2 linked regions of the Drosophila melanogaster genome follow. The protein of the gene in region 1 interacts with the protein of each later gene in a pairwise test. Each region holds a gene or a part of one and is shown in the gene's direction. Other genes may lie near its edges.

Region 1 (4,890 bases):
AGCGTTGACTTTTACCGGCATTTCAATTAACCCAATTAATGGACGGGACCTAATTAAATTTTGAATTCATGTTGCCAGCAAACGCACACTCATCCAGCTGCCTAGTTGCCCCGCACACAGATACGCCGGCACACACACCCTCGCAGGCGAACACACAGACATCAGTCAGCTGTTTTCTGCTGGCCAGCTGTCGTTCGAGTGCGAAGGAGATGGCGCGAAAGCCTCGCAATTCGGGGGTGGTTGGGGTACTGTTGGGGGTGGCAGAGGATGGTGTTGGATGGTAGCAAGGGGGTGGCTCGCTGTAACAAGTATGTACTAATGTCGGCGTCTGGCTAACTGAGACACGGCTATGAATGAGTGCCCCAAACGGAGCAAGCGGGCCACTGAAACTGTAGCTCGATGACCTTGATTATACAACACAGCAGCAGCGCCACCACCCCCCAAACCAGCTCAAACTCTACCAGACCCACAAGCAGCCCTGTTCGCAGCAGGGCCACTCCTTCAAAATACCCTACGTCAAATAAAAATGGCAAAAAAGTAGTCAGAGGCTACAGACACTCGAAAAAATAATAAGGAAATCTAACTAAATTGTACAGTAACACAATATGTTTATGATGTTAAACTTAAAATATTATAAAACTAGATTGTATCTCTATCACATATTCTATATAATTTAGAAATGTGCACATTTAAGTAAAATAATTTACCACCACAACTCATCTTAAACTTCTTCCTGGCCTACAGATAAGCATTCTTCAAAATTGCTTAAACAAGCTTTTCTTCGAGTGCACCCCAAGAGTCGGTGATGGTAACTGGTAACTGACATTACAACAAATCATCGGCCAGCAAATGTTGGCAACTGGGTGCCAAGTCAACGAACTGCTAACCGCAACACAGACACCGACCGCCACCCACTCGAACACATATATAAATTGCCGTACGGGGGCGTCATTAAAATTGCAACAGGGCCTTGAAGGAGCAACAGAGCAACAGGGGGGGAGGGGGTGGAGATTGGAGCGCTCCCCAAAAGACCAGAAGACGAAATCAAAAGATCAATAATTATTATGATGTTGCAGCACACCCGAAACGAGACGCCTTCAGACCGCAGAGCCAAGTCAAGACGGGCAGGTGAGACAAGGGGGGCGGAAAGGGGCGAAAAGGGGAGCCCCAAAAGCGGAGGGGCTACAGCCGAAAAGTTCGACAAGCGCATTACAACAGTTCGGGGGTAGAAAGACAGACGACGGATGAAGAGTGGGGTAGGGTTGGCCAGGGGGGTGCGCTTGCTTACAAGTGCAACCATTTTGTAGTACAAACTTCGAAAACCAAAAGCGAAATTGGCAAAACAAAAGGCCAGCGAAGGGAGCGAGGATGTGGGCCCACCTCCTGACTGCCTCCATTTGTGGATTGTGGATCCCGCAGCCACAGCTGGAGTCGGTCATGCGCACTCCGTCCAACCGATTGGCCCGCTTCGCCGCCATTTAGAAAAGGCCCACCAAGTGGAAGCGAAAGAGATGGGCTTGCTGCCAGAAAAGGACGGAGCGTGAGAGCGCTGCCCGCAGAGCGAGTGCGACAAAAACACCTGTTCCTGTTTCGAACTCCCCCCCCCCTGCAGGCCGTCAGTCCATCGAGTCGGCTATCCGCTATCGGCTATCCGAGAAGTACACGCAGAACTGGCTCGGAACCGGTTGCAGCTGCACCAGTGCCACACCAGTTCCCTACCCTTGCGGAGCGACGAGCTAGTCGCACTGCTCTCGCAGGCAGAATGTATCTGCGAGATACATTTCGGGGTGAGTGGCTGGCTGGCTCGCTAGCTCGCTGGCTCCCTGGCGTGCGGATAACGTACGGCAAACGGAACGAAGCGCCGACCGGTTTAGTCGTTCAGCAGTCTCCGTGCAGTGAGCATGTTTGTGCGCCAGACATCGTCGTTGGTCGGTTGTCGTCATCGCTACTATATAGCCGTCGTATCGCGAACATCGACCGTCTTAGCTCGATAGCCGTCGGATTTGCCTTTTCGGATGCGAGAGACTCTTAAATCCCTCACCATAGATCCAAATCCCTGCGAACAAAACGCGTGTGCGCACACGGATCACACAGCCGTGATAATCCCGCTAAATTCGCCGAAAACCCAGTGCTCTGTGTCCCGGTCTCATATTGAGTAATTCAAGCAAACTTCACGGAATAAGTAAACCAGTACAAGTGCCTTACACAAATATCCCTGCTCAATGCCGGAAACTTCTTGAGTACGGCCCAAAACGAAAAGGCGCCCGCTCTCAAGATTCCCAGCCCACAAATATCTCGAGTGTGCTTCGCCGAGTGTCCTGTCAGCCAAATATATGGTAATGGCAGAGATTGGTGGCCATTTGGCTCACCAGCTACCGTTGCACAATCACAACCACAATCAAACTGGATTACAGCCATCGCTGGTGATGAACCATCACCTGGATTTGGATTGCCATGGACACGATGTGATAAGTGAGTACCGATATTCAAGGGCTGCTGGCTTTCCGATTTCGGGCTATTTGGGCTGCATCCTTGAAAAGGACGATATTTAATACTGGAGATAGCACGATCACTTACCTAGGGACAGTCTTAAAAAAAGAACAATGGAATGCCCTTCCACAGTTTGGATATGAGGCTATTGTATCTTCTAGATACATTTGTTGGTTCTAAGTACTTTCGGTCTGTTTAAGAAGGCATTACAGTTTTTTTCCTTAGTTCCCTTAGATTTAAAATTTGGATTTAAATAAATGTCCTGACAAATAACTTAGAGGCTAATAGGGGTTTAGTCTAAAAAAGCGCTTTGTTGATCCACTGTAAACCAAGATTAAATTGCATTTTAAATCAACCTATTCAGAAATTGTATACCTGCAATTGAAACATCATTACATAGATCACGCATCAGTGTCGAATCATTTGCCGCTAATAAAGCTATTTAAAGCAGTTAATGACTTATTTATGGCTATTGTCCTAGTCCCCAAACAAAAATTGGCAAATTAAATAGTCATTAAACAAGAGCCACTGATGGGTAACTTTCTCGATTCGTAAATATGGAAAATGAACGAGGAAAGCCCGCTTTGGACATTAAAAGCCAATAAAATAAGTAAAAAGCCGTGTTAACAAATGCTCGCACCCAAATCACAGTTGTAAACTTGTCTTGCTTATTTTTGAAACATTTTAATGCCCACCATTTTAAATTCCAGATATCAGAGATCAAGGCTCGGACTCAAAGGTTCCGAGCTTTAAAACCATGAACTGTTAGTCAAGTTTATTTGTAACGAAGGTCGAAGTTATTTTTATACCAAAATCATTAAAAAGTTCAGGCACGCGTTGAACTCTTTCATACCTTGAGTTTTTAATTTTGCCAATGGATGTGATGTGAGCAAGGCTGCGCTAAAGTAATTACAAACAAATTAAAGTGATACCAAGAAAATACGAATCCATAAATAATTTTTATTGTGCCATTCTTTTGTCAAATTGGAGGATCTTTTTTTTTGTATATTGAACGACTTTCTGAGGTTCTATCTTTAGGTTCGGGATTTCTTTCGGGCCACAGTCGTTAGCCGACTTGTCGCTGCAGCTTTTGTAATGGGCTTAGACCCTATCTCGACCTGTCACTTGTTGTTTCAGTACGGCAATAACTGTTAAATTATAGCCGTATTTTATTTTAAGCACACTTTACATATTATATAGAAGCCAATTAACGGTTGAATGACATTTTAATGCTGAGCAATTAAGCGCGCAAGCAAAGCGGGCAAGCAATTGCATGAAAAAAGCTGAAAAGAGCTGGAAATGTATCACAAATGTATCTCATGCGATAATGTGACAAATTTTTAACTAGCCTAAAGTTTGTTAACCAAAATGCATTTTATGAATTCATAAACCAAGAGTGTCATTAAAAAATGCCATCCGTGTGTGACAGAAAGAGGAATATATTTTATTCAAATTTTATTTCGTATGCTAAATTGTGACAAATGTTTTGGCTGACAGTTGTCTAACCAAACGAACGACCGCAGAACACAAAAAAGCCAAACAAAAATTCCGAAAAAAAAAGGAAAACATGAAAAATCATAATCATAAGCACATATACTACATACAATGGGTTCGGGGAAATTGAATTATATATGAGGCTGGAATAATGCAGCACATGCAGTTGTAGCTGCGAATCATTTAAATTGCATTGAATTTTAGTAATTGTAATTTAAATTCAAATTAGTTGTCGGCCATGGAGCGCTGGTAAATATTTAATGTCCGAACATTTTAATTTGAAAACTTTTCACAAAGTTTCCTCCCCATCGCTCTGCTTAGTTGCTCTGTGAGTTAGTTGGCGGCTGACAAAACTTTAAGTTAGAGTTTTCCAGCTTCAAGTTGATATTTGAAATGAAAACAATTTTTGTAGTTTTCGTTTCGTCCCCCCCCCCTCTAGTATCAGCCAGCTCCACTCTCTTTTGTTAGTTCGCTTGGTTCCGAGGCGAGTTTTGTTTGTTTGTTGATTTTTGAGCGCTGTAAACATTTTAATGAGTTTTCCATGTCACAGACCCAGGCCTCCAGTCAACATGTCGTTGGCAACTTCTCAAGTAGTCGTTAAATTAATTAAATATAGTAAAAACAAAAAGAAATCGCCATCTGAAGTATCTGAAGAGCCTTTGTTTACTCTCCGTGCTCTATAGAAAATTATGTAAGTCCGAGATCGCTGCATACATCAGGGCGTTGAACTAGTTTCGGTTTTTCATGTTGGCGGCTGCCATAAAATTGTACCACTTTATGTTGAAGACCATCAAAAATTGACAATTATTTGCGGCCATAAAAGCCAAGCGATTTTTATTTTTATAGTTAACCAATTAGCCAAAAATTTGAATAAAATGCGAAGCGGGGGTGGCACGGATTTTCCCC
Region 2 (4,999 bases), on another chromosome or scaffold:
TGGCTTTTGTATTGCGCCATAAACGTTTCGCTGCTCGTAACGCCACAACGCTCGACGTTTCGCAGCGGCTTTGCTTTCGCTTCTCTTCTCGCGCGTAAAGCGGTCTCCCCAAAAAAAAAAAAATAGAAAACAAAAAATATAAAGGAAAACCCCCTCCGTAGACAGACAAAACTCAAAGTCTCCAACGACTCAAAGCGCCTCAGTCGCTGCCGCTCTGCCGCCGTTTCTGTCGACGCCGCTGCCCGCGCTGGCAGCAAGAATTACCAATTACACGAAATTTTTATACTCTTTTAAAAATTTCGTTTTATTATAATATTTATTATCGTGGCGCGCAGTAGTGTCTGCGGAACTCAGCTCTCCACTCTTTGGAATTTCGGCCCTCCGATTCCGATTCGGATTATACGATTATACGACTATACGACTGTAGTGCGGCAATACGATTCAGTTTCCGATTCGCCGTGTTTATTGTTCCGTTTCGGCCGCCGGCTTATTGTCACTTAAATGTTATAGATCGCGTAAAATATAATAAAATTGTGTGTGAAATTTAAAACCGAAAAAACTGTCAAAACACTATGGTTTATAACTCACTGTGTGCGGTTCGTAAAAATTAAAAAGACATAAAGTTGACATCGTAAAAAGGTTCTCGCCTCTCCGTTCCAGACTTCGATAGTTCTACCTGCAAAGTGTTTTATGACATTTTAAACAAAGTAATTAAAGCAAAACGTTGGGAGAAAGCATTTCTCCGGCCACACACACACTCACGCACTTGAGAAGTCGTTAAAAGCCGCAGGAAACTCACTCTGCCATAAAAATACAAGAGTGCCATTAAAAAAGATCGCGCGCCTATAAATCACACGTACGAAATCCCGCCGGCACGACGTCCATTCGAATTTCCGCGTAATTGATGACCGCATTTTAATTGCTTTTACAACAAATAAAAGATACACACACCCCAAACACACACATGCGACACACACACTTGTGCCACAGCTGCAAATACAACGCAACCCGAGACCATATGCAAATTTAACAAATTTCGTTGTGAATTCGCCAGCTTCGAGCGAAAAAAGTAACAGAAACAGAAAAGCTGCAAATACAAGCTGCTCGCCAAAAGTTCGCTAGAGAAAACTTGAGAAAGGTAACAAAATGCATTTCACTTCTCGGAATCGAGAAAAGTAGCTTAAAGTCGGGCAGCTGGCAAAGTTTCCGAATTCTGTCTCACTAACTCTATCTAAAAAGTACTAACTGTTGGCCATCTCATATAGTACTGTAAAAGTAACCCACATACTAACTCGTTGGCACTGGCAGGGAAATCTAGCTGAAAAATATATAAAGCATTTGGATTATATATTTTTTTCACTTGAGTTCTGTATCATGCTACCCGAAAGATTTATGTTCAATCCAAACATATTCAATTTGGTTAATGTTCTTTTTATGGTTTCCGAGTAATTTTTATAAACATGTTATATTTTTTGTTTTGCCATTTTTAATTCTTGTTTATCACATTGGACGCCAAGTTTATTTTTGTTTTTAGTACCTTTTAATTCGATTAATTTTGTTAGTGATTTATATACTAAGTCCAATGTAGTTTGCATTCGATTATGAAGTAGAAAAGTTAAATACAGAGACGGGAGATGTTCATTAAAGACAAGTAAATTTTAATAGACATTGATACAAATTAAATTGCTGTGTAAATCTTATGAAAAAGTTAAAGAAAAAGATATTTTTAAAATGCTATTTCTCACAGTGTTGAATTATAAAGTCATTCAAGTTTAAGATTTAGGTTGTGCTTACAGAAGTAGTCGGAACTTTTGTTTTATTATGGCTAGAAAGCGCTCCTCTCCACGCTGAATTCAAACAAAATTTGTTAAAGTCACACAAAGAGGAAACTTTAAATTATAAAACGAAATACTCAATCTAGCCATTAACCAAACGACTCAGATAAAGAACCCAAATCATTCGAACTCAGAAATCTCCGAAACTAAAATAGAACAACAAGTGGACTAAACGAAATTCCGAAGATCCGATCCTCGGCCAGAGAGCAAAATATGTGCAATGTCAAAATTTGTTTTCGATAGTATGCTGCCAAAGTATCCACAGTTCCAGCCGTTTATCAGTTCGCACCACTTAACCACCACCCCCCCGAATTCGTCATCTGCAGCAGTTGCCGCCGCCCTAGCCGCCGCCGCCGCCTCTGCATCCGCCAGCGTTTCAGCCAGCAGCAGCAGCAACAACAACAGCAGCAACACGATCGCTGGAAGCAACACAAGCAACACCAACAATAGCAGCAGCAGTCCAAGCAGCAGCAGCAACAACAACAGTAATCTCAATTTGAGCGGAGGATCCCTATCGCCGAGCCATTTGAGCCAACATCTGGGCCAATCGCCCCACTCACCCGTCTCCTCATCGTCGCCCTTCCAGCAGCACCACCCACAGGTGCAGCAGCAACACCTGAACCACCAGCAGCAGCAACATCTGCACCACCAGCAGCAGCAACACCACCACCAATACTCCTCGCTCTCGGCCGCTCTTCAGCTACAGCAGCAACAACACCACATTAGCAAACTAGCCGCCGCCGCAGTTGCCTCGCACGGACACGCCCACCAGCAACTGTTGCTAACGCCCCCGTCAGCGGGCAATTCTCAAGCGGGCGACAGCAGCTGCTCCCCATCGCCCTCGGCATCCGGTAGCTCCTCGCTACACCGCAGCCTCAACGACAACTCTCCCGGGTCCGCATCCGCGTCCGCCTCCGCATCCGCGGCCAGTTCCGTCGCTGCTGCTGCAGCCGCCGCCGCCGCTGCGGCTAGCTCCTCGTTTGCCATCCCCACCAGCAAGATGTATCCGTACGTGTCTAACCACCCTAGCAGCCATGGAGGGCTCTCCGGAATGGCCGGCTTCACCGGACTGGAGGATAAGTCGTGCAGGTAAGATAGATTGCCCTGTTTAAGTATGGGATAATGCAGATTTTTATAAATCGGGATGGGTTTTATGTCCAATCGTAGTAAAATGATCTTAAATGACCCTAATAGGAAGTGCAAATATAAAGTCAATGACAAATGATCTATACTATCTAATATGATATTCAAATATTTGGAGTGCATTGATAGAACTTCTCAGACAGTATCATATTTTAAAATATATGCAAATTTAGTATGACCATTAGCTTTACCTGGCTTCAAAACCTTTAAGAAGATGTTTCCGGGGTTGAAAATACAAAAAAAAAGAAACACTCAGCTCTTCCAAGAACTAATTTCGCGTGCTCTCAATTTGGCGAGCGGAAATGCCAGTCGAGACCTTCAGTAAAATCTGCAAACACTGCAAAACCGCAAATCCGTTTCGAATGCGCTCTAATTATCGGGTCTCGGATCCTGGGACTCTGTCCATTTTCCTCTCGGCCACCGGCCATTCATATTGAATGGCCATAAAGTCGGAAAATTAGAGCAGCCTGTGGTGGCCGCTGGCAATTTGTCGCCGGCCACAAGATTCGCACGCACGCTGACCTTCCGCTGCGGCCATTTGCATATTAGTACTACTGTATGGGCACTCCATGTGCATGTACAGTGAACCCTGCTGTGCGTGGGCGTGTTCGGGATTAGTGTGCAATTAGAGCTAACCGCAGTTTGGTGAAAGGGGCATGCAAATGGCCACCTCATTAGCATTTGACTTTAGTACGGGCGCTGGAGTTGGGAACGTACTATGAGAGCAGGGATCACCAACAATAATGGCTACTTTCTCTCTCCCACACCCACAGCAGGTACACGGACACTGTCATGAACAGCTACCAGTCGATGAGCGTACCTGCCTCGGCATCTGCACAGTTCGCTCAGTTCTATCAACATGCCACAGCCGCCGCATCCGCGGTATCCGCGGCCAGTGCCGGCGCGATCGGCGTGGACTCGCTGGGAAATGCCTGCACACAGCCCGCCTCCGGCGTGATGCCAGGGGCAGGGGGAGCGGGCGGAGCCGGTATCGCCGATCTGCCCAGGTATCCCTGGATGACGCTTACAGGTGAGTCAAAACTCGATACTCGATAGTGCGGAGATATATTATACATAAGTAAAAAAATAACTGCCAGATTCGGACTCTTTGTGAAAGACTTCGGATCTGAATGTGAGTGCCAAATTTGATAAATCTTGAAAGTTATCCGATTTTTAGAATTGAGAATCACACATATCCCAATACAAGTTTATCACACTGAGCCAATCAATCAGTCTTTTAAATTAAGAGTCTGTCTATCGTATCTACTGTGTTCTATATATCATGCCAATCATTATAAAATCAGAAATAATCCGTGCACTTCAGGGAATGTATATCGTCTTAAATCAAGAATAAATTGCCTTCAAGATCTACAAAGCGATCTCTTAAAATTTTTTGTGTACATATAAATCATGGCCACTTACACTGAAATCAAAAAATCAAATAAAAAATTGTAAGAACTTATATTGGATTGAATTATTTAGTCGCTATGTTAGGTTAAATACTATAATTAAAAAATTTAAACAGCTAAGTTGTTTAACAACCCGTAGACTTAAACCAGGTTCGAACTGATTTACAAATTGTATGACCTAACAAAAAGCGTCCAGTCGAATTATCGAATTAAATTTCCCAAGTGTAGTATTTGGAATGGTTGCTGCGTACCTTTTATAAACAATAGATAAACGTGGCGCAAACGTTCCCCAATAGCATTCCCATTTGCACCGCCATTTCGCCTACAATTCCAATTCGTAATGAACACTTTGCGGAGCACTTCCAAGTCGTTTATTTCGCATAAGTCTTCCAGGCGATTCGAATCCGTAAACGAAATGAACGAAGAGCTAAAAAGTTGGCAGTAAATAAAAATGAAAATAGTTTGAGAAATGCTTCTCTTGTCTGTCGTGTTATTTGGCGTCGATTTGTAATTTAAATAGCCTCAAGGTTGCCCCACACCGACAAACGTATAGCCCAAAATGCCGACCAAAAAACACTGCGATGTGCCCCGCGCATACAAAATCCACATATC

Evidence for each region.
Region 2: the proteins of tup (region 1) and abd-A interact in a protein complementation assay, tested with the Drosophila melanogaster proteins (2 studies listed by BioGRID).

The regions. Positions count from the first base shown.
Region 1 is NT_033779.5:18,878,239-18,883,128, reverse strand, and holds the start of tup (tailup), read left to right. Parts: upstream 1-1,867; 5' UTR 1,868-2,333; coding exon 2,334-2,472; intron 2,473-4,890.
Region 2 is NT_033777.3:16,825,060-16,830,058, reverse strand, and holds the start of abd-A (abdominal A), read left to right. Parts: upstream 1-1,953; 5' UTR 1,954-2,055; coding exon 2,056-2,924; intron 2,925-3,751; coding exon 3,752-4,008; intron 4,009-4,999. UniProt on the Drosophila melanogaster protein: Sequence-specific transcription factor which is part of a developmental regulatory system that provides cells with specific positional identities on the anterior-posterior axis. Required for segmental identity of the second through eighth abdominal segments.